Linked DNA regions of Oryctolagus cuniculus. The protein of the gene in region 6 purifies or fractionates together with the protein of the main gene of each other region. This does not show direct contact. Links are inferred from orthologs where the notes say so. Each region holds a gene or a part of one and is shown on either strand. Other genes may lie near its edges.

Region 1 (4,042 bases), on a different chromosome or scaffold from region 6:
TGAAGTTTTAGAAGAGTTTTTAAGTTCTTTTCAAAAAACATTAATCAACCATTTTGATAAAGCAAAACAAAAACCATAAATACCCTTTCAGTGGCAACAGTGGATTCCTGTTTAAATTTTTGAAGGGTGCCCATCAACAAGCCAAATATTCGTCGGTTCCTAAGAATAGAAAAAGAAAATCCCATTTTAACAGGCTGTACATTTAAATCTGCCATTTTCTGATACTGCAGACAGTTGAATAATCCCTTCACATTTTTTAAATTGCAGGATTTGACAGATTAGTTTCCCCAAAAGAATTCTAAAGATACCTTTGCTTTCCCTTTTCATCCATATTTTGATCCTGGATAAGGTCTCTACGTGTACGCTCTTTGGAGGTAGCTACAACTGAAGACTGCAACGCTGGCTGTAGGCGAAAAGAAAATCTTATTAATCTAACTAGTATATGAGTGCCATGCTTTTAAACACAGAGTATAAATATTCCATTCACTCTCTATTAAGTTCTTTTAATCTCAGTACCTTTTTAACATCATCATCCTCTGGGTCGCTTTCTTGGCGTGATTCTCTTCTTGTCCGACGCTCCCCGCCCAGCCTGTCATGGCAAAAAGTAATTTAAATAACCACTGCAGAATTTGATGTAAATGCATAGCAAGGCAAATGCCTACTGTTGCTAGGTCTCTTTCCCAGAAAACTCATTTAGCAGTCTCCATCCCATTTACTTTTTCCTCTGGCAAAGAAAGGATAAAACGTGTCAACTAATGCCCAAACTCTGAACTCCTATGACATATAAATTATTTCTTAGGCTATTTAAGTTCTTTAAGTACAGGACATAAAAATACGGTACAAATGGACTTCTTATGACCTTAGTCTGATAAAAACTGGATCACCTTGAGCAAAGAACTGAATTTTGAGGAACACTGGTTATCTCAGTTCAGTCAAATACCATGGCAAGCTTTAGGGAAAGTGGATACTAGTCAATTCTAATGCAACAAAACAATATTCATGAAATACTTATTTTTGTGTACTTAAGAATCTTTCAAACCTACCTACTGACTGCCCCTTCAAGGTCTCTCTGTTTGGCTGGGGGTCCTCCTCCACTATCTGAGAATCCACGCCTGCAATTAAAATTGTTCAACAGAAAGCACTTGAAACACGAGATACAAGAGAACGCAATTTGATTTTTAAAAATTCTTTCAGTTAAAGTTATGTTAAGTGGGATTCACTCCAAAATACTTCACGAAAAAATACAAGAAAGTTGCACAAAATTCTCCAACCTCTTACATATAAATGAAGCTTCAGAATAGCTAGTTACATAGAAAACTAGCTGATTACAACATTAAATGCAAATACTGTGTTGTTCTTTTTTAAGATGTATTTTAATTATTTTGAAAGACAGTTACACAGAGATGGAGAGACAGAGAATACCACGTTACTCTAACACTGGCTCCAACACAGGTTTTGTTCAAACAGTGTATTAATTTAGTTAGCCTTTAACACTAGTAAAAGCGTAAGGGAATCTTACCTCAGCAATAAATTACCACGTCCTCTACCTCCACCAGGACCAGAAAGGGCCAGCAACCTGGCTTGGATGGGCCTGGAAGGGATTTACTCGTCAGTACAAAAATTACAGGAAGACCAATCTAACGGCACCAAATCCCTTCCTACCTGTGTTAGATCATAAAAAAAAAATAATAATAATAACTTCCCCAAAATTCTAAGACGGTTTAAAAGCCACACGTTTGAAACGGGGCAGGGAGTCCTATTTCATTTAACTTCCTCGTTTTTCTCGAGACCATTATCTCAGAAATTATGTTTACCTCGATGCCACCACTCGTTACCAAGCCAGGACCGGGTCCCCATGGCGCCATCCCGGAGTTAGACGCACGTGGGCAAGGGCTGGGAGCGAGGCGGTGGGCACGGCCCGGAGGGTCTGGGGCCAACCCCGGGCAGGGAGGGCGGCCGCCGCAGCGGGAAGGGGCTTTGTACTGCAGTTCCGGGGCCCGCGGGGCTGAGGGCGGGAATCTCCAGTCCAGCCCATCTCACAAGCCGGGACATCATGCCGGCGCAACGAGGCGCGCTACGGCGGGGCTGGGGCCTCCCCAAATCAGGGAGGACGGGAATCTACCGCCGCCCGGGAACAGGCCTCGATGTTCCTGCCTTCTCAGGGCTGGCCGCTCTCCCCGCCCCCAATTCACCCTGACTTGCTGGCTGCCTCTCCGAGCCCGCAGTTCCCGTCCGCTTCCTACCTCACGTCATTGGGATCTCGCCCGGTGAGCTTGCGGATATTCTCATCTACGTTCTTTAGGCTCTCTTTGGCCTTTTCTAGCTGCTCCTGCAAAGTTCTCACTGCGACCGCCATTTTCTCCCTGCAGCAGGCTTCAAGACTGCTCTACAGGCCGCGCCGCGCTGCGCCGCGCCGCGAGACCTGAAAGGACTGACAGCCGGATTCAGCCAATGACGAGCGGCGTTGATTTTTGGTCTCAACCACTCAGAGACTGGAAAGGGGAGACACTGCCAATCTTTGTGGCTCTGGACCAATGAAAAGTCAGCCAGGCGGTCGCCTCCCTCCCCAGTTTCCTGCGGGTGGCTGGGTCCCGCTTCTAGCGCAGAGTCAGGGCGGGCTTGAGAGAGACGTGTGTCCTCGGGGACGTACTCGCAGACCTGCAGTTCTGGCGGAGAGCGCTGGGCTGTTCAGCCCTTTTAACCTGTGGTGTGACGTACGTTATATCGTTTTAACGACAAAATCCCACCAGGGTGGGACGGAGGCCAGTCGGCTTCTCCTCCGTCTCGCACCCGGATCAATAATCTAATTAAGAAAGGGCGTGGCCAAATGGTTGGTGCGCATGCCCGGAGGTGGAGTGGGCGTCTGCTTCCCTCCATTAGGTTAAAGTGAGTAGGGGGAAGCAGAGTGAAAGATGAAGAATAAGAAACGTCATACTCCTAAGAACTGACAGCTGTATCGAGCTGGTCTGGTTCTGGACGCCGTGTGAAACTTTACGTGCCTTGTTCCTCACCACCAAGCGCTTTGAAACAGTACCAGTTAATACTGATAAGGAATACTGCCCCTAGGTCATGCCAGAAGTCGCCATCCGATCAGACCCGGTGCCAGGCTTTATTAAAAGAAAAAACCGACGACGAGAAGAAAAAAGTCGACGCAGGCACGACTGACTGAGCACCTTCGCCTAGTCTACAGCCTGCTGGTTTAAGACCCAGTCTGTGGTGTCCCCATTATTGTTGGTGTGTGTATGTGAGAGAGAGAACTGGCCTCTGGTTCTACTCTGCCTGCACCGCCAACGTATGAACTGATTTTGTTTGAAAAAAATGTAGTATAAAGCGTAGGTCAGAAAACATTTCCCCACGGAAACCACTTGAATAATCTCAGCCAGCCATCCTCCTTGCACTAAACATTAGCAGGGCGACTATATTTAACTAGAGCTACCATTTTATTTCAGGATCTATCCTTTAAAACGATCACTGTGTATCAGCAGTAAGCTAGACTGGGGGTGTGGGGGGGGGGCGAATTTCCTAAAACAAGTTAGCTGTGGCTCCTGCTTTTGTGGAATGGGTAGCTCCTAAAGGAGCAAAGATCTTTGGATCCACCATTGAGTGTCTACTGTGAGCCAGACACTGTTCTAGGCACTTTGGATAAAGTGGTGAGCAGCAGAGGTCTCTAAAGGAGCTTGCAGGGAGGAAAGGTGTGGAAACAGATTATAAACAAAAGTAAATTATGTGGAGTGTTAGAAGTGTTACAGAGGGGCCGGCGCTGTGGCGCAGTAAATTAATCCTCCGCCTGCAGCGCTGGCATCCCATATGGGCGCTGCTCCGCTTCCGATCCAGTCCTCAGCTGTGGCCTGGGATAGCAGTAGAAGATGGCCCAAGTCCTTGGGCCCCTGCAAACGCGTGGGAGACCCAGAAGAATCTCCTGGTTTCGGATTGGCGCAGCTCCAGCGGTTGCAGCCATCTGAGGAGTGAAAGAATAGAAGGAAGACCTTTCTCTCTCTCTCTCTCTTTCTCTCTCTTTCTCTCTCGGTAAATCTACCTTTCA
Region 2 (4,237 bases), on a different chromosome or scaffold from region 6:
GGAAGGTATCCAACATGCCACCTCCGACTCAGTGAAAAAAATAGCATAACGAGGTGACTATTTCTGCTTTCAAGAAAATTTTTGTTATCTTCCTACTGAGTCCTAGGCACCCAGAAAAGTACCGCGTATGTAATCGGTACTCAATAAATACTTAAATTTGCTACTACAAATTATTACAACACACAAACTCAACATGAGCTAAGAGCTCTTCATGCATATGCCCACCCTTAAACAACATGCTCTCTGACGTTTCTACAACACGTATTCTACCAGTTTAAATGAAGAACAAGTTCAAGTCCTGGCTCCACTCTGGATCCTAGCTTCCTGTTAATGTACATCCTGGGAGGCAGCCTTTACTACTAAAGGCTCAAGTAGCTAGGTCCCTACCACCCATGTGGGTGACCTGGACTGAGTCCCTGGCTCCCAGCCAGGCATTTAAGGAGTTAACCTACACACGGGCACTCTCTGCCTCTCAAATAAACAAACAGAAATTGTTTATGAACATTGGAGCAGATACTTGGTACAGCAGTTAAGACATCACGTGGGTCGCTCACAGCCATATCAGAACACTGAGTTTGAGTCCCGGCTCTACTTCCAATTCCAGCTTCCTGCTAATTCAAACCCTGGGAAGCAACACATGACAAACAGCTCAAGTACACCCATGCGGGAGACACCAACTGAGCTCCTGACTTTGGCCCGGCCAGCCCTAGTTGTGGGCATTTAAGGAATGAATCAACAGGTAGAAAATACCTCTCTCTCACTCTCTCACTCTCTCTCTCTCTCTCTCTCTGTCTCCCTTTCTTTGCCTTTCAAACAAAGATTAGGCCAAAAAAATGTTTAAAAATTTTATTTATTTATTTTTTATTTATTTGAAAGTCAGTTACACAGAGAGAGGAGAGGCAGAGAAAGAGAGGTCCTCCATCCAGTGGTTCACTCCCCAATTGGCCGCAACAGCCAGAGCTGCGTTGATCAGAAGCCAGGAGCCAGGAGCTTCCTCCGGATCTCCCACATGGGTGCAGGGGCCCAAGCACTTGGGCCATTTTCTACTGCTTTCCCAGGCCATGGCAGAGAGCTGGACTGGAAGTGGAGCAGTAGGGTCTCAAACCGGTGTCCATATGGGATGCCGGCACTCCAGGCCAGGATGTTAAGCTGCTTAGCCACAGCGCCGGCCCCTTAAAAAAATTAATTGAAGGGGCCGGCGCTGTGATGCAGCGGTAGACCCGCTGCCTGCAGTACCGGCATCCCATATGGGAGCTGGATCAGAAGTTGAGCTGCCCATTTAGGATCCCAGCATGAAATCAGGGCTTTATCTGCCACACCACAACACCAGCCCCTTAACCTGTGTCTTAACCACTAAGCTAAAAGACTGGCTCCTCCACTGTTCTGCTACCTCTGGTGTCTTTACCCTACTGACCTGTTAATGGTATCCAGGTACGGGCAGTGGCGGCTCCTCCGGTCCTCAGAATCCACGCGGCCATTCTTCGCTAAAAGGAAAATCACCACAGGCTTTGAAAATGAGAAACCAGTACTCAAGGCCAAACACAGAAGGAAGACACAACTGAAGACACACTAGCACGCAATCCATCAAGATGAGCTCCCCATTAACATAAACTCCTTTCAGAGAGCAACAGCAACCAAAAAAATGTCTGCTAGTGGAATAAGCCTCAAACTAGGAGAATATATTTGGTACACGTATAAACAAAAATCCACTAATCTATTACATAAAGAATTCCATGAAGCATGAGAGATATGAAACATATCACAGGTTACAAGATAAACTGAATGTAACATCCACGAACAATTTAAATAGCATAAATGAATGCCCTTCAATCTAACACTTGCCAAGAACTATAAGGTTTTACTCTATTTGCAGGCTAGGGAGTTAGTCTGGCAGTTTCGTGGATGCTAATGGAAGACCCCCAACTATTGGGTCTGAAACAAAGGAGTCTGTTACAGCAGTAATAGCAGCAGCCAAAAGACAGCCTTGCTATCCATTCCCTTCGTCAGCTCTCACAAGGCAACATTAAGAACCCACGCACAGTGCGCTGCCCGAGAGGGGCAGAATCCTGAGGCTGGAGATCCTAACTCCTTTTTTAAACGGGGCTGTGTGCTGGCCACCTCCTTCGCTCTACTGGGAAACGGCACCTCTGCCCTCCCAGACTGTTCACTATAGGAACACCTTTGACGAGCCAGCCTCTGGTCGCTGTGTGCGCAGAGACGCGGGAAGCCGATGGAGAAGTCTCCCAACACCAGACTGCAAATTACAGCAGGATCCTACAGCTGAGGGCTTATGGGAAAAGTGTTGCTGCTGCTGCTATCAGAAATACTCAAATAACTACGGTTACTAACACTGCCTTCATCGGAACATCTGTATCCCCCTCCCCCATCCAGGCGGGGAAGTAGCAGAAAGTCAAAGACAAAACGGAGATGGCGAAGGTGGGGCTCGCGCCCTGCCCAGCCCGGCCTCGCGCACCTCGCACCTCCCGCTCGGGCTCCGAGTCCTCGTCCGCATCGCGCTCCCGTTTAATCCGCACCACCGGGACGGCGGCCGCCGAGGCCTCGCGCGCGCTCGCCGGCTCGACCTCCCGCTTCACGCGAACCGGGCTGCCGCGGGAGCTCGCCGCCTCCGGCTCCCGCTCCCGATCTCGCTCTCGCTTGACACGACCCGAGCTGCTTCGGGACTCGGACTCGCGCTTCCCGCGGGTGGAACCACGGGACTCCCGCTTGGACCGGGCAGACATCTCCACTACCGGAGAGATCGTCCAGCGCAGGCGCCAGGCACGCGCAAATGCGCGACGCGCAGCCAATCAGGGGCGGGGCCGGTGGAGCCCGCAAAGCTCCCTACGGGTCGCCAACGGGGACAAATCTATGGCGCTACAGAAAATTGTGGGCGGAGTCGCTTCATTCCTGGCATCCTTAGGCTCCGTGCGCTTCTGGGAACGTTTTGTGGGCTAATTTCCTCTTTACCTATCATTTTCAGCCTAAAATAACCTGAACTTTTTCCTGCCTATACGGTTTTATAACTCGCACGAGATACTTAGCGCCTCGGGATGTCGTCTCCCCCAGTCCTGGCTCCTCTGAGACTGACGGCCCTGCACGGGAAAACAAGGCGATAAAGCCCGTGCGGCAACGTGGCAACCCTGATTCCACAACTAGAGGGTTCTAGCTGTCAGCAAAATGCTAAGGCCAATAAAGCTCTAACCTAGGAGCCTGCTATTACCTTGTTTGCTTGTTGGTTTGTTTACATTGGGGGTATAGCTGACCCACAAGGACCTGCACGTTTAACGCGCTCGGTTCGCTCCGTTCCCACGTGGATGCACCGTGACATCGCCACGATCTAGGGGTCCTGTCCGGCCTCAACCCGAGTGAGCCTGTCCTGGGCGGTCCGGAGCTCAAAAACCCTGGGGCTGGTACTGAGCGACTAGAGCAGGGCAGGGGAGGGCCGGGCGAGTCTTCGCGGAGCCGTAGCCTGCCCCAGCACCTGGTCGCCTACACAGCTTATTTGAGAAAGGTGCTCTCCGTGTTCCCATTTACAGGTGAGGAAACTGAGGCACGGCGGGGTCAGCTCAGTTCACGCAGCTGGTGCGAGTAGTGTTCACAGGCGTTAGTAGATGTGCCTTTTTTTCTGAAATTTTTTGATGTACCAACTGTAAGCCGAAGTCCTTGTTTCCTTTTGATGACACAAAACAGCCCCGCCTCCACCCTGTCGGCGCCGCGAACTCCGCGCGCCGCGGCGCTCGGTCCCGCCAGCCCTCCCGCGGCCGGAAGTCGGGACTCCCGGCCGGAAGCTGAGCGCGGGCTGGCTCGGGCCTCCACCGGCGGGAGGGCGGCCGTTGGGGCCGTTGAGGTGGCGGCGACTCTGCGCCCAGGGCTCCAGATGGAGGCGGCCCGGGATCCCGGGCCCAGGCTCTGCTGCAAGCCTGGCGGGCGGCTGGACATGAGCCACGGCTTCGTGCACCACATCCGACGGAACCAGATCGCCCGGTACCTCCCCGCCCCGCGCCACCGCCACCCTTGGCCTGGCCCGGCCGGCTGTCCCTGACTCCCGCTCGGCTCCCCGCAGGGACGACTACGACAAGAAGGTGAAGCAGGCGGCCAAGGAGAAGGTGAGGAGGCGGCACACGCCTGCGCCGACGCGGCCCCGCAAGCCCGACCTGCAGGTGTACCTGCCGCGACATCGAGGTGAGGCCACCCGCCCCGCCGTCTCCTCCAGCCTACGCGCTCTTCCCTTCCACGT
Region 3 (4,200 bases), on a different chromosome or scaffold from region 6:
GCATTACCAGGAAAGAAAAAAAAAAAAAACTCAGGGAGGGGGCTGTCACGGCTGGGGTCAGTGCAGTGGTCTCCCCCACTCCCCCGCACAGGCACAGGTTCTGAGGGGGCTGTCACGGCTGGGGTCAGTGCTGTGGTCTCCCCCACTCTCCCGCACAGGCACAGGTTCTGAGCCCGGGCCCTGGGGGCCAAGGCCTCCTCCAGACGGCCCATGGCCAACACCACCCCCGCCAGGGGCTGCCCTCCTCTGCCCCTGAAGGCGTGCAGAGAACTGAACCTCCCGCCTGTCCCTCGAATGTGTCCAGACTGGACGGGCTGCCAACCCCGCCCCAGGGCAGCACACGCCGGAGGCTTCTGTGCCCAACTCCCTGGACACCCCTCGGCCCCGGGTGAAGGGTGAGGGCAGGGTGACCCTCCTGGATGGGGAAGGGAGTCTCACGCGCCGGCAGACCCCGACCGCTGCCCCCCTCGGCCCCGGGTGAAGGGTGAGGGCAGGGGGACCCTCCTGGATGGGGAAGGGAGTCTCACGCGCCGCAGACCCCGACCGCTGCCCCCCTCGGCCCCGGGTGAAGGGTGAGGGCAGGGGGACCCTCCTGGATGGGGAAGGGAGTCTCACGTGCCGCAGACCCCGACCGCTGCCCCCCTCGGCCCCGGGTGAAGGGTGAGGGCAGGGGGACCCTCCTGGATGGGGGAGTCTCACGCGCCCGCAGACCCCGGCCGCTGCCCTCCTCGGCCGCAGGTGAAGGGTGAGGGCGGGGTGACCCTCCTGGATGGGGAAGGAGTCTCACGCGCCGGCAGACCCCGACCGCTCTAGCGCTCCCCCCACCCTCCCGCACCCGGGCTGCCTCTCCGACTGCCCGCTGGTTGCTTTCTGCAAGGCCCTGGCTTGCACCCGCTGCTCCCCCCAGCCCTCCTGGCTGCCAGCTGGGGCGAGGGCGCCGTCCTTCCTTCCGCAATCCCACAGAAGCCCCCTCCCCAGCCCTCCCCACTCGCCGCTCCTGCCAGGCGGCTCCGACCGCGCCTCCCGGGCCTTCGCGCCCGCCGCTCCCTCTGCAGCAGTGGGGTTTGACCGCACTAACCCACGTCCTGCGCCGGCCCATCCCTCCGAGCCCTCTAGGCCGGCCTTGGAGAGGCTACCGCCCAGAAGACCCCCGGGCGAGAAGACCCGCCGCCCCCAGTGCGCACGCGCTCGCAGAGGCGCGGCCTCGTCAGCCCCGTCCGTGCCGGCCCCGGGGCCCCGGCAAGTCGCCATGCCCGCTCCGGGAGCTCCGGAAAGGGGCTGCCCAGGGCCGAGAGCCCTCTTGACCGGGGAGACACAGCCAGCGACCCTCACGGCGCTCCCCACCCTCGTCCGCTGCCCCGAACGCTCCGCAGCTCGCGCCCATTGGCTGAGGCGTTTTCGTCATCGCTGTGCGCCGCACGGCGGCACGTTCCCGCGCCTTCGCTCTGACGACAGAAAAGCGCCGGCCTCGGCGGCTGAGGAGAGCGGGAGGAGGTGGCGGCGGCGGGAAGATGTAAGTTGGGGGCGGAATCCGACCGCATCCGAGCTGCAGGGGCCGCCCGCCAGGCCGGGAGGGTCGCATCGTGCAGCCAGCCGGCTTCTCAGCCCCGCGATGGCGCGGCGGCCGGGCGGCGCGGCACGGAACTCGGAAAGAAAGAATGTGGCCCGGGGCGGCGGAGTGGGAGGCGTCGAGGCCGCGGCCCGGAAGTGGTCGGGGCCGCCGCCGACGGAAGAGCCGCCCGGCTGGGTCCGCTCCGCGGCGGCGCTCCTGCGGGCTGGGGAGCCGGGCCCTCCCTGCGAGCGCGGGGGGCGGCGGGGCCGCTGTGTGGGACGCCCGGGAAGGCGGCGCGCGCTGCCCGAGGGGCGGCTCCAGCGCTGCCGGCGGGTCCCGGCGCCGTGGCGAGGTCGGGCCGGCGCGGCGCGGGGCCGCCTGCCGCCGTGCTGTTGGCGTGGACCGTGCGTGAGGCCCAGCTCCGGTGCGGGGAGGGGCCCCTTCTGCTCGAGACGTGACTAACTGTTCTCTCCTCTCTCTGGCTGTTGGACGCGCACCTTCCGGAGGACGGGGGCGGTCACCAAGGTCCCGCGCCGGGCCCTGGACTTGTGGACAGAGAACCTCAACCTTTGCTTTCTAGCTGCCGACCGCGCCCGGCAGAGCGAGCGCGCCCCCCGTGGCTCTTCGGTGTTCGTCCCGAGGACACCGGCGGGGCTCGTCCTCGGGCGGGGCGGGGCGGGGCGGGGGTCGCCGCCCTGGCCAGCGAGGTGGCCGCTGCTCACGGGGCCCGCGGCGCAGCCAGCCCGGGCTGGGGTTCAAAGGACGACTCGGAGGGGAAAACGGGAAATGCAGTTCCCGCTGGGTGTGGGGTGTCCAGTGTTTTCTAAGTGGATTTACCTGGTTTGTGACGGCGCTACAAGGCAGTTCCAGGTTACTCCTGGCGCGCTCGGTAGTGGCCGTGCTGCCCCGAGTGATCCCACGGTGGGGCCCACGGACACTGTTGAATTCAGGAATTGGGAGTGTGTGGAACTTCGGAAAATTCATGGAAAGGGGAGTTAAAAGATAGATTTTGGTGCAAAAAAATGAAACCTACGCATGTTCTTTGCAGATAGGTATTTTCCATGACCTTTCTGAGGCTCCCGGTGCGGGGAGGAGAGCCTCTGGAAACAGCCCTTTTCATGTTACTTCTGTTGGGCCTCAACCAGGTGCGGGGTCTGTTTCGTGAGTTCATTGGTTACTGCCTTTGAAAATGCTGGAAGGGGGGTTGTTGTCACCGCATTGCTGGTAACAAACTGGCGACCAGAGGCCTTAGAGAGGACAGTGGCTGCTGAGGGTCCACAGCGAGGCCGGGGCTCTTGGCTGAGTTACACCCAGGGGTTGTCCCAGGACACCAGCCTGACCGGGTGTCCGTGGTCCCTTATGGTTTGGAGGCAGCCATTCTGAAGAGGGCAGCCTTGGCAAGGAGCTGCCCGGGGATCCTCTGCCCTCTGCCGCTCGTTGGAGTGTCCACAGCCGGCCCTCGTATTTCCTGGGTCAGAACGTGGATCGGCATCACGTGGAAGCGCCTGCCCAGCTGCGGGGCTGCGGCCGCGCGGTGTGCGGTGGGATGAGCAGCCGCGCCTGCTCACAGGTCACGCGGTTGTGCAGAACCTCGTGGAAAGCCTGGGTGAGAGATGAGCGGTTTTGAGTAACTGGTTAACGTGACTGCTCACCGTGTGCTGGCGTCAGGCACCTGGCCAGCCCTTAAATGAAGTGGAGCATCTCGCCCAGTTTCAAGTGTCAGCTTCCCCCCGCACACACACTTGCGTCTTTTTAAAAGTTCTAACCATACAGAAAAATTGAAGTAATGTTTAATGCTCAGTAGCCACCACTGGGGCTCTGCGGTCCCTCTGTTGGGTTTCTTGGCGCGTGTGGAGCCACCATCTCGTTTTTTCTTTAAATCACAGCCTCGTGCGAATCTTTCCCCCTGCACACGTCGTGCTTAGCACTACAGTTTGCTATTGACAACTTGAGAATCGCTTTCACTACTCTCTAAGTGTTCGTGCTTGGGTAGTAAATGTTTTGGTGCTGATACCAACCACTTCTGAAACGATGTTTGTCTCCAGTCGTAATCCAGTGTGTCCTGGAGGGGAACCACAGCAGAGACGAGGCCTGATCCGCCAGCCACACTCGCGTTAGGCTTCCCTGTCCTCCTCGTGAGTGTGCTGCTGAGGGCCCGTCACCCTTAACGAAACTCTAGGATAAAGCGACGGGGACCACCCGCCGCCTCAGGGAGGAGCTGGGTGCCGGCTTGACCTGTGCCCCGTGGGGAAGTGGTGGCTGCCCCGCATGCCCTGGTCCTGTGGGTACCTGCTGCTTGCTGTGTTCCTGACTGCCTTCGTGTGTGCTCAGCTTTGTACTGCAAAGTTAATTTGTTGCCTTGCCAATTCGTTCACTCTCTACATCCTTTTATCTTGTTATTAGGCTGCTCTTTGGCGTAAATTGCAATCGATTAGGGACCGTTTCTCAGAGTCGAGTTAGAAGTGAGAGCTCAGATAAGTGAGGCCGCCATTGCCGCTTTGAACACCTCAGAAGGGAGGATGGATTTATCAGGAGTGAAAAAGAAGAGCTTGCTAGGAGTCAAAGAAAATAATAAAAAGTCCAGCACTAGGTAATCCTCCTGCCAGATTTTTCTAGTGCTACATCGGGGGTGCTCACCGCTAGGGACC
Region 4 (3,977 bases), on a different chromosome or scaffold from region 6:
GCACGGGAAGCCAGGACGGCTGCCGGGCTGGGACGCACGTGGGAGTGGGAGCTGTGCTCAGCGGCCGCTGTCTGTCTTTAAGGAGCCACAGGTCCGCGGAGACGAGCAGGCAGAGCCCAAGGATGGAGCCCCCCGGAGGCCAGCCTGACAGGCACCTGACCCCCAGCGTGGACCTGGCGAGCGGTCCCCGAGATAAAAATTAAAGGTTTTGTGGCAAACTCAGCGTGGGGGTCTGTGGTGGTGGTGGGGAAGCCGCCAGTGGGAAGGATTGGCTCTGTCCCCACAGCCCTGGCCCTGCTCCCCAGTGGACGTCTCGAAGAGCAATGGCCGTTTCTCTCTATTCCATCTCCCCCATATGTCCTGGGGCCAGTTCACGAGTGACCAGGGCACAACGGACGCGGCCTTTAAGGCTACTTCCCTGAGCAGCTCACAGCAGAGGTTCAAAAACAAGGCCAGCACCGGCACCCCGGGTTCTAGTCTCGGTCGGGGTGCCAGATTCTCTCCCGGTTGCTCCTCTTCCAGGCCAGCTCTCTGCTGTGGCCCGGGAGTGCAGTGGAGGATGGCCCAAGTGCTTGGGCCCTGCACCCGCATGGGAGACCAGGAGAAGCACCTGGCTCCTGGCTTTGGATCGGCGCAGCACGCTGGCCGTAGTGGCCATTTGAGGGGTGACCCAACAGAAGGAAGACCTTTCTCTCTGTCTCTCTCTCACTGTCTAACTCTGCCTGTCCAAAAAAAAAAAAAAAAAAAAAAAAAAAAAAAAAAAAATCCAGCTCAGCTCAGCTCAGGGACCCGTGCAAAGGCAGCGCTCGCTGCTTACAGCGCCCAGAGGCTGGGCTGCCCGATGGGGCCGAGATCCCCGGAGTCCACTGGAATGGACCACCTGCCCAGGGCCGGCCCTGAGGGGCTTCCAGCTCCGGGGCGCTGGCTTAGATGGCCTCTAGGTCCCTAACATTCTGCGATCCCGTCTCCTCCAAGCTAATCCTGCGCCCGTAAGGGGCGCGCGCAGCGGGAAAGCCAGCGAGCTGAGCGCCGCTCGGCCCAGGGCTGGCCGCCAGAGCCCCGTCGGGATCCGAGCCCGTCCCCGCCTTCCCATGAGCCTCCGGGGCAAGCGCCAACGCGCACGCCGGAAGCGGCCGCTCTTGGTTTCCGGCAACAGGACAGCGGCTGCCGTGCGACCCGGAAGTGTTCCCATTTTGCGTCGTCGGGGCTCGGCGGCTGCCCGGCTCCAGGCGGACGGACCACCATGGGGTCGTCAAAGAAGCACCGTGGGGAGAAGGAGGCCGCCGGGACGACGGCGGCGGCCAGCACTGGGGGCGCCGCCGAGCAGCCGCCGCGCCATCGGGAGCACAAGAAGCACAAACACCGGAGTGGAGGCGGCGGCAGCAGCGGCGGCGAACGACGGAAGCGGAGCCGGGAGCGCGGGAGCGAGCGCGGGAGCGGGCGGCGCGGGGCCGAGGCCGAGGCCCGTAGCAGTGCGCACGGGCGGGATCGCAGCCAGGCCGAGCCCTCGGAGCGGCGCGTGAAGCGGGAGAAGCGCGATGACGGCTACGAGGCCGGTGAGGGGCGGGGCGGGGCCCCGGGAGCCCGGCAGTGTCCGCGGTGCTGCCCGGGGCTCTGGGCTCAGCAGTGAGCAGAGCCCCCGACCGGCCATTCGGGCCTGGGCTCGGCTTTGTCCGCTCAGCCCCGTGAGCACGCAGGTTCTCGTTTTGCGGGGTTCCGTGTTGGGTGGACGGAAGCGTGCGGTCTCAGCAGGTGGCTCGCTGGCGCGCGGCGCGCGTGGGGTTCGTGGTGGAGACCCCAGGCAGTGAGGCATGAGGTCGTGGCCAGAGGTCGGCAGGAGGGCTGGCGGGGGAGGGAAGCTGCCCCTGCGAGGAGGGAGTACCGGGACCCGGTGGTTGGGGGAGGGTGACAGAGGCGGGCAGGGGGTGATGCCCTGGGCTCTGAGAGTGCGTGGGGGCACCGAGAGGGTCTAGGAAGCCCCGGAAGCCCCCTGCGAGGGTGTGGCCAGCGGCGGGGCCAGGGCTTGGGGAGTGCTGGGGTTTTAGTAGCGGGCCCAGGAAGATGCCACAGAGGAGATGAGTCGCCCAAGGGTCGGGGACACCCGGAAGGCTCGTGTCGGGGTGCGTGGGGCGAGAGTGTGCTAGGAGGAGGGGGTGACACGAGGCGGGGGCCGGGGTGCAGGAGGCAGCTGTGGGGTAGAGGGGGAGGGTGGGGGGTGCGGGGAGGGCCGGCTCACGGTGCCCAGCTCCCTCCTCTCCGGGGTTCACCTGGGGCTGGAGGAGGCCCCAAATGCTTTGCGCCTGAGCCCCACATGCAGCGCAGAACAGACACTGTTTGCTCCTGACCGCCTGGGTGGCACCCGGGACACGGCCGCGTTGCGGCACCACCCCCGCCCCGTGGGGGCGGCCAGACCCCGACATGACTGCCCGTGCCGCAGCGTCAGGGCTGGTTGGTCTTGCCCTCGGTTACGATGTGGCCGGGGCAGGGGCAGGGGCACAGGGGATAGAGAAGCAGAGAGGGCAGAGGGAGGGAGGGAGGCAGGACGTGGCCGTCTTGGGTGAGGAGGGGACGTAGGAGCAGAGCTCTGGGAGCCCGCCGGGCCGCTGCCTTCTGCCGGCTGATAGACCCTGGGGCACGTCCGAGCTAGCGGGGCCGGCTCCTTGGCCCGGCAGCCCCCGAGCCCCGCAGCCCCGCAGCCCCACAGCCCCTGAGCCCCGCCGCTTGTCGTTCCAGCTGCCGGCTCCAAAACCAGCTCCGGAGATGCCTCATCTCTCAGCATCGAGGAGACCAAGTGAGAGCCCTGCGTCTGCCGCAGCCCTGGGCGGGCAGGGGCTCCCCCCCAGGGTGGGCAGGGGCTCTCCCCCTGGGCGGGCAGGGGCTCTCTCCCAGGGCGGGCAGGGGCTCTCTCTCAGGGCGGGCAGGGGCTCTCCCAGGGTGGGCAGGGGCTCTCTCCCTGGGCGGGCAGGGGGCTCTCTCCCAGGGCGGGCAGGGGCTCCCCTAGGGCGGGCAGGGGCTCTCTCCCAGGGTGGGCAGGGGCTCGCTCTCAGGGCGGGCAGGGGCTCTCTCTGGGCAGGCAGGGGTGCCCCCGGGCGGGCAGGGGGCTCTCTCCCAGGGCGGGCAGGGGCTCTCCTCCTGGGTGGGCAGGGGCTCTCTCCCAGGGCGGGCAGGGGGCTCCCCCTGGGCAGGCAGGGGCTCTCCCAGGGCGGGCAGGGGCTCTCCCAGGGTGGGCAGGGGCTCTCTCCCAGGGCGGGCAGGGGGATCTCTCCCAGGGCGGGCAGGGGCTCTCCCAGGGCGGGCAGGGGCTCTCTCCCAGGGCGGGCAGGGGGCTCTCTCCCAGGGTGGGCAGGGGCTCTCTCCCAGGGTGGGCAGGGGCTCTCTCCCAGGGCGGGCAGGGGCTCTCTCCCAGGGCGGGCAGGGGCTCTCCCAGGGTGGGCAGGGGCTCTCTCCCTGGGCGGGCAGGGGGCTCTCTCCCAGGGCGGGCAGGGGCTCCCCTAGGGCGGGCAGGGGCTCTCTCCCAGGGCGGGCAGGGGCTCCCTCCCAGGGCGGGCAGGGGCTCTCTCTGGGCAGGCAGGGGTGCCCCTGGGCGGGCAGGGGGCTCTCTCCCAGGGTGGGCAGGGGCTCTCTCCCAGGGCGGGCAGGGGCTCCCCCAGGGTGGGCAGGGGCTCTCTCCCAGGGTGGGCAGGGGCTCTCTCCCAGGGCGGGCAGGGGCTCCCTCCCAGGGCGGGCAGGGGCTCTCTCCCAGGTCGGGCAGGGGCTCTCTCCCAGGGCGGGCAGGGGGCTCTCTCCCAGGGTGGGCAAGGGCTCTCCCCCCGGGCGGGCAGGGGCTCTCTCCCAGGGCGGGCAGGGGCTCCCCCAGGGTGGGCAAGGGCTCTCCCCCCGGGCGGGCAGGGGCTCTCTGCCCGAGCTGACTGCTGGGAGAGTGTGGGGTCACCCAAGGGCCAGAGGGAGGTGGCGCTCACTGGTTGGGGCAGCCAGGC
Region 5 (4,170 bases), on a different chromosome or scaffold from region 6:
TGCACCGCGACCTGACAGCAGCCGGGATCCCACCGGGATGGGAGAGGGTCCGCGGAGCCGCTGCCTGCCCCGGGGGTACCAGCACCGGGAAACAGGCTGAAGGAGCAGGGAGGAAGGGGCGTCACTGGGGTCTCTGGGCAATGGCTGCACCCCTGTGCTAAGCACCAGGTGCTGTCCTGGGCCCAGCTTGTGGTGCGGGAGGATTTGCCAGGGCAGGCCGTCAGGAGGGACATGGGGCAGGGCTGTGGACACAGTGTTTCGGGCCAGGGCGACTTCAGTGGGACCGTCTCCCTGCAAAGGCTGCCCAGCAGGCAGGGCCTGCCCTCTGCAAAGGCAGGTCCTGTGTGTGTGTGTGTGTGTGTGGGTCCCTTGTGTGTGCCCAGGTCCCATGTGTGTGCACAGGTCCCATGTGTGTGCACAGATCCCATATGTGTGTCTGCAGGTCCTGTGTGTGTGTGCGTCCTGTGTATGCACAGGTCCCATATGTGTGTCTGCAAGTCCTGTGTGTGTGCATGTGGGTCCCATGTGTGTGCCTGCAGGTCCCGTGTGTGTGCACACAGGTCCTGTGTGTGTGTGCACAGGTCCTGTGTGTGTGTGCATGTAGATCCAGTGTGTGTGTTTGCAGGTCCTATGTGTGTGCACAGGTCCCATATGCGTGCCTATAGGTCTCATGTGTGTGCACAGGTCCTGTGTGTGTGCCTGCAGGTCCCATGTATGTGTGCACAGGTCCCATGTGAGTGCCTGTAGGTCCAGTGTGTGTGCACAGGTCCTGTGTGTGTGCCTGCAGGTCCCATGTGTGTGTGCACAGGTCCCATACGTATGCACACACGCACACAGGTCCCATGTGAGTGCCTGTAGGTCCAGTGTGTGTGTGCATGGGTCCCATATGTGTGTTTGCAGGTCCTGTGTGTGTGCCCAGGTCCCATGTGAGTGCCTGTAGGTCCAGTGTGTGTGCACAGGTCCTTGTGTGTGTGCCCAGATCCCATGTATGTGAATGAAGATCCTGTGTGTGTGTGCACAGGTTCTGTTTATGTGCCCTGGTGCCATGTGTGTATGTGCAGGTCTCGTGTGTGTACATGCAAGTCTTGTGTGTGTGCACACTGATCCTGTGTGTATGTGTGTGTCCAGGTCCCGTGTGTGTGCTCTGGTCCCATGTGTATGTGTGCACAGGTACTATGTGTGTGTGTACACGGGTCTCGTGTGTGTGTGCACTAATCCTGTGTGTGTATGCCCAGGTCCCGTGTGTGCATATGCAGGTCCTGTGCTGCATGCGGGAGGCTCAGAGGCCAGCCCTAGGCAAGGTGTATAGCTCAAGGCTGCCCCTGCCGCCCCTGCCGCCCCTTGCCTGGCTCCCTGGAGTGTGGGTCCTCTGCAGGTAGGAGGCGTGGTGCCTCCAGTCTCTGGACTCCTGCCGGGGGGGGGGGGGCTTGGGGATGTGACTCCCCTCAGGGGTGGGGAGGAGACGGGCACGACAGGGGAGCTGCCTCTCAGGAGCCTGACCAGGGCCCCCGCACACAGCCACCGCCCACTTCAGCTTCTGCCGGACCGTCCTGGAGCACACGGTGTCCGCCGAGAGCATCCCCTGCCACCTGCCTCGAACGCCGGGCACCAGCCTCACGTGGCACGACCCCCGCAGCCAGAGGGCGTGCGGCAGCAGACCCATCAAGCTCCTGCAGCAGCCAGGCACAGAGGCCCCCCAGGTACCCCGCCGCCCGCCCCCGCCCCCCGCGCCCACTACGCCACCCTCACTGCGCCCACCACCCTCCTCTCCCTGCAGGGCCAGCTGTACTCGGACCACTACGGCCTGTACCACACCAGCCCCCCGCTGGGCGGCCTGACGCGGCCCGTGGTGCTGTGGACTCAGCAGGACGTGTGCAAGTGGCTCAAGAAGCACTGTCCCCACAACTACCTCGTCTATGTCGAGGCCTTCTCCCAACACGCCATCACCGGTACGCCGGCTGCTGCCCTCCCGCGCCCCTGGGTGAGTCCCGAGTGTCCCTGTGGGCCTCAGCTTGTCCGCCCCTCTCCCTGCAGGCCGGGCACTGCTGCGGCTGAATGCGGAGAAGCTGCAACGCATGGGGCTGGCGCAGGAGGCCCAGAGGCAGGAGGTGCTACAGCAGGTGCTGCACCTGCAGGTGCGCGAGGAGGGGCGGAGCCTGCAGCTGCTCAGCCAAGGTCTGTGGGAGAGGCTGGGGGCGGGGCTGGGAGGGGTCTCTGAAGGATCTCAGGAGACTGGCTGGAGGGGCCCGGGAAGGGTCCACCCCCATTCGCCCCCATCTACCCCGCAGCTTCCTTCGGAAACATGTCCTAGCTGCTGCTGAGGCTCAAACCCCAGACCAGCACTGTGACTGGAGCCCGTGGCCAGGGACGAAATGGTGCTGGCGGCTCAGCTCCCGGACCCTGTGGACGCCTGGGCAGCAGAGCCCAGTTCTGTGGACAGGCGGGACCAGGACGCTCACCTCCAGGTGCTTCTGGGTGGGCACTCCACGCCGCATCGGGGTTGGGCGCCCTTCCTCCTGGGACCAGAGCACGTGCTGCTGGCCGCGTGTGCAGCAGCTCTCTCGAGCCAGAGATGGCCAGGTGCCTGCAGCGTCACAGCACTGACCCGTCTGCCACCCAGCTGGGATGAACTCCTCAGCCCTCCTAGCTCGGTGCCCCTCCTGTCCCTGCCAGGGCCCGGCAGGCCCAACTCACGGCCCAGAGGAATGGTCATCAGAACCCAGCGGCTGGCTGCCACACCCAGCGCATGCTGAAGCTGGCTCCCTGCTCCGAGTCCGTGAGAACTGAGGCCAGGGGGCATCCACACCCGTGAAGACGAAGCCACCCAATGAGGTGACCTCACGCAGGGGCCTGGGCTCAGTGCTGCTCCTCAGCCGGTGCCTGGGGGACTATTGCGATCCAGCATCTTCTGCCCGGGTCAGTGGCACAGACATTTTCCGTTGTCACTCTCCCGGGAAGATCTGGATTCACAGGAGAGGCTGTCCCAAGGGCCTCGGCCCCACATCTGCCCACAGACGCCAGAGCATCCCCTCCCTGGGTGCAGGGCAGCCCTCTCCCACTCCCCCCCCCCCCGGGCTCTCTCAGGGACAGATGAGGCTGAGCCCAGCCCCTCTGTGTGCCCTGAGCCGGCCTTGGGTGCGAGGTTGGTCATCGCAGCCGCAGGTCCCGAGTGGCATTCGGAAAACTGGCCTGGCACCTCCGTCCTGTGCCATGACCCCCAGCTGCCCGTGTCCCTGTCCCCGACCACCCTGTGCTATAGGTCTTTCCCCAGGGAGCCCTTCCTGCCGCCACCCATCCTCCTGCCTCTGTCTTGCCCACCCCGTGCCCCTGTCTTGTCTTGTCTTGCGTTCACTTTTTTATACTCTGACAAAGAGAAGAAAAAAACAAACAAATAAACGTGGTTCTCAAGTGCCTGCTGCACTGGGTGTGGGGGGGGGGGGCGGCATGCCTGGCTGCCTGCAGGCCGCGCCACCAGGGGGCAGTGGAGCTGCGTTCTGAAGAGGCCTCCCCCAAGGCGGAGGCCACAGCCGGGGCGCCCCACGGGGGGTCCTGGGGCTGCTGTCCCGGGATGGGGCCTTTGCCTTCTCTGAGGCCAGAGGCCAACCCCAGTGGGGCCTCCAAGCCCCTTCGGGTTTCTGGTGCCTGCCTGTTGGCCCTGGCTCCCTCTCATCTCCCCAGGCAGGGACTCTGTGTGCAACCCTCCTCCAAAGAAGGCCTCCCCTGTAGGGTCGGGGCTCCAGCCTCCCACACAGGGCAGGGTCGGGACACAACACCCCAGCCTCACGGTATGGCCACCCAGGCACACGAGGGCACCGGGCCGTTCATTCGCCAGCCCTGGGCAGGCACTGGCAATGAAGTCTCGCCCCAGGGGACCCAGGCCAGCCCCTCCCCCGAGGTCCTGGTGAACCTGAGTTCTGCCCCCAGGCTGGGCAGGGGGTGCTGAAGCAGAGGGCCTGAGAGAGGGCTATGCACCTGTCTCTACCTCCCGCGCAGCAGTGTCCAACGGGGTGCAGAGGTCCATGAGCTTTCCTGGGGCGTCTGAAACTCAGCAGATGCAGCAGCACACACAGCAGAAGCCTGTGGACGCTGTGGCCCACACAGGGTCCACCCCAGGGTTCCTCTCTCCCAGCCCTGCAGGATGGCTGCGTCAGGGAGGGGGCAGGGCCTTGG
Region 6 (3,500 bases):
TCAGGTACAGAACTGAAAGTGGCTGCTTCGTCTCTCAGCCTCATTCTGAGTAAAAGCTGTGGCAAGTAGTCTGGGTGCTTATTAGTTTTGGCTGGTCAGTTTGCAGTTTGTTTGTGTTTGTTTTGACTGTTTTGTTTTCTGTGACTTGTGGTTGAGAGTTAGCATCTTCACAGTCAGGAATGTATAAACGTTAATTTATTGTAAACTCCTCATCAGCACTAACCTCACGTAGCCAGCAGGCCAGCAGCAGTGGTTCCTGAAAATTAAATACTTCAGAGAAGGATTAGGCCAGAGTGAAAGAAATAGGAGTGGGAGGGTTGAAACACAGCTTTTCTCTTCTGCATTATGGCCTCACTGTTGTGCTTTCAAATCTAAGCCCACTGTAACATAAAAATAGTTTCACCACACAGCTTCCTTGCGACTCATTTGGAACATTGATTTTCATTTGGAAATGGTGTTGTGTGCACAGTTTGATATGCTGTCATTTCAGCGTAGAGCAGCTTGTCAGGTGTTAAAGGAAGGGGTTTCTTGAACAGAGTATTTTCATTGTGAATCATTTTTGCAACTAATATTCGTGTTTAAAATTTTTTTTGTCTTTCATATTTCCATGTTGCATTTTAACACTATTTTGTTTTTGTTTTTTTCTAAAAGTATGAATTTACGAGAGGTGTTAAAAAAATATGGTAAGGATGTTGGTCTTCATATTAAAGCCGTCAGATCATACAGTCAGCAGTTGTTCCTGGCATTGAAACTCCTTAAAAGGTGTAACATTCTCCATGCGGATATCAAGCCGGACAATATCCTGGTGAGTCAGACCACCTGGCTGCCTTCTGCATCTGTGTCTCTTCTTACTAGCAATGTAATTATTACTCTCATTCCAGAAATGACATCTTTAAAGCACAGTTCAGTATACTAATCCATTACAAGCGGTTCCAATTTTGCCTTTTTTGGAAATGACCCATGGCATCCTAGAGAGAAGTAAGAAGAGGAAATTTTCCCCCCACTTTTGGTTGATGGATTGGTTCAGGGTATGCTCACGCCCAGGGGTGCTTTATACAGTGATAATGAGTTTCCTGTGGTATCTTAAAACACGTGCTGCATGGGGTGACGTTTCCAAATAAGAAGTGTCCGTGCTCCTTTGTTCTCTGATTCTATAACTCGTGGAATTAGGGGCATTTCAAGAGACTTAGCCTCTCTCCAGTAGATGTATGCAGTTGGCTTGAGAAAGCACTGAAGAGTAACTTTTCTGTTGTGCTCTTTTTCTCCCTTGGTCTTCATTGCTTTAGAAGCAGTGGCTCCTGGGGCCCAGACACTGAAGCTTGGTAATGCTGAGGCGTTGTACTGAAAGGCCGTCTTTTACCCTCTCCCCATAGTGACTTAGGATTCCATAGTGTTCATAGCATTTTTGAGATTTGGAAGCACACACCATGGTGGCATGATGAACACATGCACACCTTCCCTCCCCCCCCCCCCCCGACCCCCCATTTCTTTACCCTGTTCTGTGCCGGTCACAATTCACAACTTGGAGAATTTGAGCTCACCTGCCAGTCACATGTTTTGCATTTCATTTTTCTTAGAATGGATGCTTTATGTCAACACTCTGGTAGTTAATGCTTATGAGAGGTTCTTAGCAAAAGCCAAGCATGTAAAGTCTCTTTTGCTGGGAATTGTTTGAGCGATGACAAAATAAATTATTAAAAATATTGTGATCTTATTAAAATTTAAGATCTCTTTGGAGCCAGCATTGTGGTGCAGAGGGTTAGGCTGCTGCTTACAACCCTGGCATCCCATATTGGAGTGCTGGCTTGAACCCTGGCTACTTGGCTTCTGATCCAGCTTCCCGCTAATGTGCCTGGGAAGGCAGCAGATTCTTGGACCCCCTGCCACCCACAAGAGAACAGGGTGGAGCTCCTAGCTCCTGGCTTTGGCCCAGCCCAGCCCTGGCTGTGGTGGCCACTTGGGGAGTGAACCAGCAGATGGAACATCTCCCTATGTCTCCTTGTCACTCAACCTTTCAAATAAAACCTCTGGGGAAAATAATGAAGGACTCTTTATCAATAACTGAACTCTGTGATTCAGATTTCCCTTCTCTTTCTATGTCTTAAAATTTTCCTTCCAGACTACCATGTTAATAATGAGGTATATTCCTTTTTCATAGTTTGTGTTTATATTATATTGTATGTCTAATAGAACTAGGAGTAGGGGAGTTGAGTAATAGTGAAATGGGAGGTACATTATAAATGACTTAAGAGTTGCCTAGCCAACTTCATAGTTTTAAACATGATTTTTTTTTCTCTTTTTAAATTGGGAAATATATCATCCTTCTTCGGGATTTGCAAAAGGTACAGTGGGTATCTGTGTGACTGCTGTGGGAATTAAGTCTCATAAGCTCTTATTTCTAGCACTTCGTTTTTTTAATTTATTGCTAAATTAGTATAGATTTTCATATGGATTTCAGAAATGAAATGTTTTCCCTTCTTCCTGTGGAAAAGTAAACTTCAGAGAGCATGCGGAGCTGTTGGTTGTTAATCAAAACCCGAAGCTTCCAGGCTGTGGTTCCCCGTGGCGGTGGTGAAGTGCCACCTCTTTCCTGGGGAGTTGTGCAGCATGAAGCAGCGTGTGAGCCTGGAAACCGTCCTGGTGTCTTAAGGCCTTGTGGCAGGTCCCAAGAGTTTTTCCAGTAATCCAGCTTGTATTTTTTTTTTTTTAACATTGATTTATTTATTTGTGAGGGAGTTGTAGAAAGAGATCATCCATCCACTGGTTCACTCCCCAAAGGGCCTCAGTGGTTGGGGCTGGGTCATGCCTAAGCCAGGAGCCAGGAACTCCATCTGGGTCTCCCACATGGGTGGCAGGGACCCAAGCCTTGGACCCTCTTCCACTGCCTTCCCAGGCACATAAGCAGAGAGTTGGATTGGAAGCTGGGCAGCTGAGGTTTGAATCAAAGCTCCCGTATATGGGAGGTCAGCGTGCCAGGTGGCTGCCTAACCTGCTGCACCACAGTGCCAGCTACAGCTTTCTGCTTCTAACAAAGCTTCGAAGGAACTTTCACTCTAAGATAACTGCTTTCCTGACTCCCAGAATGAAGAGAATGGTAATTGATGTGACAGCTGAAAGTGGTCATTTCTGTTTACTGCTTAATTCCATGGGCATCTCTGGTGTTCCTTCAGTCTGTGACACTGACCTGCCCAGGGCTCTTTAAAGTGTTCAGTTTGTTTGGGGTGGGAACAGTAGGCCACGTTCAAGTCCCAACTCGGAATTTATGTGTGTCTCTTTTGAAGGGGGGCAGGGACTCTGGAATGTGACTTACCTTCACTTGTTAATCCTGAACCTGCTTCTGACTCATGAGTGGCAGCAGTCATGGGAGCAGCGCCAGCCTTGCTCAGCAGATGTCACTGTTACTGTGTATGTGGAAGTATTTACAAGGAAAGAGACAAACCGACTAATACAGACATCATTAGCCATTTTGCCAGATGTATTTATCATTTTTTGGACTAATA
Region 7 (3,500 bases), on a different chromosome or scaffold from region 6:
AAGTCAGAATTATTCATGACTGCCAAAAGGCACTTAAGCCTAAGAGAAGAAGGCATGTTACCAGACGAACTAGAACTCAGAAGACAAAATGACCTCATCCATGAAATGATCTGATACCCCCTTTTGGAACTTTAGTAGCTAAGCTACCTCAGGGGCAGTATAAGACCCCAATAAATCATGCTATAAAAAGGACAATGTTAGAGATGTACACAGGGTATAAAGGGAAGAGAAAGGATTCAGCACTTTACTGTTAATTTTAAAAAGAGAAGGGCAGGGGCTGGCACTGTGGTGTAGTAGGTTAAGCCTCCCATATGGCATACGGGCAGCGGCATTCCATAGGGGTGCTGGTTTAAGCCCCAGCTGCTCCACCTCTGATCCAGCTCCCTGCTATGGCCTCGGAAAGCAGTAGAAGATGGCCCAAGTGCTTGGGCCCCTGCACCCATGTGGAAGACCTAGAAGAAGCTCCTGGCTTCAGATCAGCACAGATCCAGCCATAGTGACTATTTGGGGAGTGAACCAGATGGAAGATCTCTCAGTCTCTGTCTCTCCCTTTCTCTCTAACTGTAACTCTTTCAAATAAAATACATAAATCTTTTTTTTTTTTTTTTTTTTTTTTTGACAGGCAGAGTGGACAGTGAGAGAGAGAGACAGGGAGAAAGGTCTTCCTTTTGCCGTTGGTTCACCCTCCAATGGCCGCCACGGCTGGCACACTGCACTGATCCAAAGCCAGGAGCCAGGTGCTTCTCCTGGTCTCCCATGGGGTGAAGACCAAGCACTTGGGCCATCCTCCACTGCACTTCCCTGGCCACAGCAGAGAGCTGGCCTGGAAGAGGGGCAACCGGGACAGAATCCGGCGCCCCGGCCGGGACTAGAACCCAGTGTGCTGGTGCCGCAAGGCGGAGGATTAGCCTAGTGAGCCGCAGCACTGGCCTAATAAAATACATAAATCTTAAAGAGAGAGAGAGACAGAGTAAGCTTTCGGCACAGTGACTAAAAAACACTTGGGATGCTCACATCCCACTTCGGGGTGCCTGGGTTTGAATCCCAATTTCACTTCCAATTCCTGCTTCCTGCTAATGTGCATTCTGGGAGGCAGCAAATGATGGCCCAAGTAACTGGGTCCCTGCTACTCACATGGGAGACTCACACTGGGTTTACAGCTCCTAGCTTCAGCCTGGCCCATCCCTAGCTGCTACGGTCATCTGGAGAGTGAACCAATGGATGAGAAGTATCTTCAAATAAATAAATACATAAATAAAATTTAAAGAGACAGACAAAAGAACCCAATATATTTTTTTTACCTCATCAAGATCTTTGGTCTCTCTGCCCAATTCATCGTCATCTTCATCAGAATCAAGCTCGGGTCCAATATAATTTCCAAACTCATCATACAAGTCAGTATCCATGGTGCTAAAATTCAAAAAGAAGAGAAGAGTGAAGACTGACAACATAGTCCCCGTCTCCTGGCTTCATGGTCCACCAGACCCCTGCACACACCTCCTCTCCAGTTATATCCAGCTCTCGACTGCACCCCCCAAAGTCCAGTACTTTCCCCACCTCTCTGGCCTACTTGGCATTACTACTTAAACACTGTTCCTTCCTCTTCTTTAATACTGAAAAAGATTCTAAAATAATATAATACCAAAAGTGCCAGTACAAATAACTTCCCGTTGCCTAACTTACTGAGAGCAGCCTGCTGACACAACATCCCACCACCCTGTAATACTTCAGGACAGGAACTGGCAAACTGGCCCGTGGCCAACTCTGGCCCCTCCACCTGCTTTTGCATTGCCCCAAGTGAAGAATGCTTTTCTTCAAGTTAAAACAGTTCATAACACATTAATTAATGACATTCAAGTTCAGTGTCTATAAAGTTCCACTGGAACACAGGCATGTTCATGCACATGTAGCTGCTTTCACACTGCAACAGCAAAGTTGAGGAGCTGGAAATGAGACCATACGGTCCACAAAGCCTAAAATATTCTCTGGCCCTTAACAGAAAGCTTGCCAACCACTGTCTCAGCGTGTGTGACCTCCACAAACAAGGACATCTCCTACATACCACAGTACAGTCATCCAAAGCATAAAATTACTATGGACCCATTACTACCACCTAAACCACAGAGTTCACTCAGGTTTTACAAGTGGGCCACCGCAGTACCCTGCACAGCCAAGGCTCCGAGCCAGGATCACACATTTTCTTGGAGTTGCCCTGTCAACCTCTCTTTCAGCCTGTCCCAGTTCTTCAGTCTGGCCTTGGCTTCTATGACTTAACACTGCTGAAGCTTAGAAGCAGTGATTTTGCAGACTGTCCCCTCACTTGGGCTTGCGGGATGTTTCCGCAGGAGTATACGCAGGCTCTGCCCTTTCGGCAGGAGTGCCACAGCAATGCTGCTGTGTTTTTCTCAACGCATCTCCTATCGGGTGGTCTGTGACTTCAATTTGTCCCATTTGTGATGATATTAACTTTGATTCTTGATTAAGGAAGTATCGGCAAGTTTTTCCATTATAGAGTTCCTCCTTTTCCACTGTAATTACTACTTTGTAGGTTTTCTCTACTTCAAAGATAGAAACTACTCAATAGTTCAAGAGGCAGGCGTTGGGGCTAGCAGGTAAGACGACAGAAGTGCTGGGGCTCCACACCTGCCTCTGCCTCTTTACTTCAGCCTCCAGCCAATGTAGGCCCTGAGAGGCCAAGGCTACAGCCCAGGTAACTGGGTTCCTGCCACACACGGGCCTTGGCCTGGCCACTGCAGGCACCTGTGGAGTGAAAAAGTAGACGGGAGCTCCTTCTCTCTCTCTGCCCCTCAAACACAAACATGAAAACGGATGGGGTGGCACTGTGGTGCAGTGGCTATGCTGCTGCTGGAGACGTCTGGGATAGAGTCCCCCTCCGCTTCCAATCCAGCTTGCTGCTAACGCACCTGGAAGGCAGCAGATGCTCACTCAAGTACTGGAGTTTCTGTCACCTGTGGGGGAGGTCCAGCTGGAGCTCCTGCCTCCTGGCTTTGGTCCAGTACAGTGGGGGAGTGAGCCACTGAATGAGAGATCTCTCTCTCTGCTTCTACTTTTCTGTCACTCTTGCCTTTCAACACACACACACACACACACACATTTGGCAGAGCATTACAATGTTGCTTAGGATCCTGCATCCCAAAGCAAAGTTCCTGGGTTCAAATTCCAGCTTCCTATTAATGAGCACCCTGGCAGGGAGGCCCAGTTTGGTTTCCTTGCTCTGTGGCTTTGGCTTGGACCAGCTCCAGCTATTGCAGGCACTTGGGAGAGTGAATCAGAAGATGGGAGGTATCTGTATCTGACTTTTAAATAATTTTTAAAATAAGAATAATTCAGGCCGGCGCCGTGGCTCACTAGGCTAATCCTCCGCCTTGCGGCACTGGCACACCGGGTTCTAGTCCCGGTCGGGGCGCCGGATTCTGTCCCGGTTGCCCCTCTTCCAGGCCAGCTCTCTGCTATGGCCCGGGAAGGCAGTGGAGGATGGC

The links.
Region 1: the proteins of PRP4K (region 6) and PNN purify together in Homo sapiens (affinity purification with mass spectrometry; 5 studies listed by BioGRID and IntAct, counting the BioPlex papers as one, with this or other methods). This does not show direct contact. The link is inferred for Oryctolagus cuniculus from reciprocal best matches to the Homo sapiens genes PRP4K and PNN.
Region 2: the proteins of PRP4K (region 6) and USP39 purify together in Homo sapiens (affinity purification with mass spectrometry; 3 studies listed by BioGRID and IntAct, with this or other methods). This does not show direct contact. The link is inferred for Oryctolagus cuniculus from reciprocal best matches to the Homo sapiens genes PRP4K and USP39.
Region 3: the proteins of PRP4K (region 6) and RNPS1 purify together in Homo sapiens (co-immunoprecipitation; 4 studies listed by BioGRID and IntAct, with this or other methods). This does not show direct contact. The link is inferred for Oryctolagus cuniculus from reciprocal best matches to the Homo sapiens genes PRP4K and RNPS1.
Region 4: the proteins of PRP4K (region 6) and SART1 purify together in Homo sapiens (affinity purification with mass spectrometry; 3 studies listed by BioGRID and IntAct, with this or other methods). This does not show direct contact. The link is inferred for Oryctolagus cuniculus from reciprocal best matches to the Homo sapiens genes PRP4K and SART1.
Region 5: the proteins of PRP4K (region 6) and PRPF6 purify together in Homo sapiens (affinity purification with mass spectrometry; 3 studies listed by BioGRID and IntAct, with this or other methods). This does not show direct contact. The link is inferred for Oryctolagus cuniculus from reciprocal best matches to the Homo sapiens genes PRP4K and PRPF6.
Region 7: the proteins of PRP4K (region 6) and EFTUD2 purify together in Homo sapiens (affinity purification with mass spectrometry; 3 studies listed by BioGRID and IntAct, with this or other methods). This does not show direct contact. The link is inferred for Oryctolagus cuniculus from reciprocal best matches to the Homo sapiens genes PRP4K and EFTUD2.

The regions. Positions count from the first base shown.
Region 1 is NC_091443.1:36,472,375-36,476,416, forward strand, and holds the start of PNN (pinin), read right to left. Parts: upstream 2,801-4,042; 5' UTR 2,357-2,800; coding exon 2,244-2,356; intron 1,592-2,243; coding exon 1,520-1,591; intron 1,113-1,519; coding exon 1,044-1,112; intron 590-1,043; coding exon 517-589; intron 404-516; coding exon 309-403; intron 160-308; coding exon 84-159; intron 1-83. UniProt on the Homo sapiens protein: Transcriptional activator binding to the E-box 1 core sequence of the E-cadherin promoter gene; the core-binding sequence is 5'CAGGTG-3'. Capable of reversing CTBP1-mediated transcription repression.
Region 2 is NC_091433.1:117,039,207-117,043,443, forward strand, and holds the start of USP39 (ubiquitin carboxyl-terminal hydrolase 39), read right to left. Parts: upstream 2,801-4,237; 5' UTR 2,742-2,800; coding exon 2,474-2,741; intron 1,485-2,473; coding exon 1,415-1,484; intron 1-1,414. Other genes in the region: C2H2orf68 (UPF0561 protein C2orf68 homolog), read left to right, coding at 3,878-3,984, 4,064-4,182.
Region 3 is NC_091450.1:33,008,794-33,012,993, forward strand, and holds the start of RNPS1 (RNA-binding protein with serine-rich domain 1), read left to right. Parts: upstream 1-1,400; 5' UTR 1,401-1,511; coding exon of another isoform or gene 1,512-1,513; intron 1,514-1,538; exon of another isoform or gene 1,539-1,976; intron 1,977-2,235; exon of another isoform or gene 2,236-3,687; intron 3,688-3,955; 5' UTR 3,956-4,071; coding exon 4,072-4,142; intron 4,143-4,200. UniProt on the Homo sapiens protein: Part of pre- and post-splicing multiprotein mRNP complexes. Auxiliary component of the splicing-dependent multiprotein exon junction complex (EJC) deposited at splice junction on mRNAs.
Region 4 is NC_091432.1:5,822,228-5,826,204, reverse strand, and holds the start of SART1 (U4/U6.U5 tri-snRNP-associated protein 1), read left to right. Parts: upstream 1-1,177; 5' UTR 1,178-1,243; coding exon 1,244-1,556; intron 1,557-2,733; coding exon 2,734-2,791; intron 2,792-3,977. Other genes in the region: TSGA10IP (testis-specific protein 10-interacting protein), read left to right, coding at 83-203. UniProt on the Homo sapiens protein: Plays a role in mRNA splicing as a component of the U4/U6-U5 tri-snRNP, one of the building blocks of the spliceosome. May also bind to DNA.
Region 5 is NC_091442.1:205,102-209,271, forward strand, and holds the start of PRPF6 (pre-mRNA-processing factor 6), read right to left. Parts: upstream 2,801-4,170; coding exon 2,460-2,800; exon of another isoform or gene 2,312-2,459; coding exon of another isoform or gene 2,289-2,311; intron 2,176-2,288; coding exon of another isoform or gene 2,035-2,175; intron 1,950-2,034; coding exon of another isoform or gene 1,778-1,949; intron 1,701-1,777; coding exon of another isoform or gene 1,519-1,700; intron 1,302-1,518; coding exon of another isoform or gene 1,236-1,301; intron 1-1,235. Other genes in the region: SAMD10 (sterile alpha motif domain-containing protein 10), read left to right, coding at 1,236-1,301, 1,519-1,700, 1,778-1,949, 2,035-2,175, 2,289-2,311. UniProt on the Homo sapiens protein: Involved in pre-mRNA splicing as component of the U4/U6-U5 tri-snRNP complex, one of the building blocks of the spliceosome.
Region 6 is NC_091436.1:166,254,011-166,257,510, reverse strand, and holds part of PRP4K (serine/threonine-protein kinase PRP4 homolog), read left to right. Parts: coding exon 1-4; intron 5-651; coding exon 652-805; intron 806-881; exon of another isoform or gene 882-1,028; intron 1,029-3,281; exon of another isoform or gene 3,282-3,405; intron 3,406-3,500. UniProt on the Homo sapiens protein: Serine/threonine kinase involved in spliceosomal assembly as well as mitosis and signaling regulation. Connects chromatin mediated regulation of transcription and pre-mRNA splicing.
Region 7 is NC_091448.1:18,146,624-18,150,123, forward strand, and holds part of EFTUD2 (116 kDa U5 small nuclear ribonucleoprotein component), read right to left. Parts: intron 1,411-3,500; 5' UTR 1,407-1,410; coding exon 1,302-1,406; intron 1-1,301. UniProt on the Homo sapiens protein: Required for pre-mRNA splicing as component of the spliceosome, including pre-catalytic, catalytic and post-catalytic spliceosomal complexes. Component of the U5 snRNP and the U4/U6-U5 tri-snRNP complex, a building block of the spliceosome.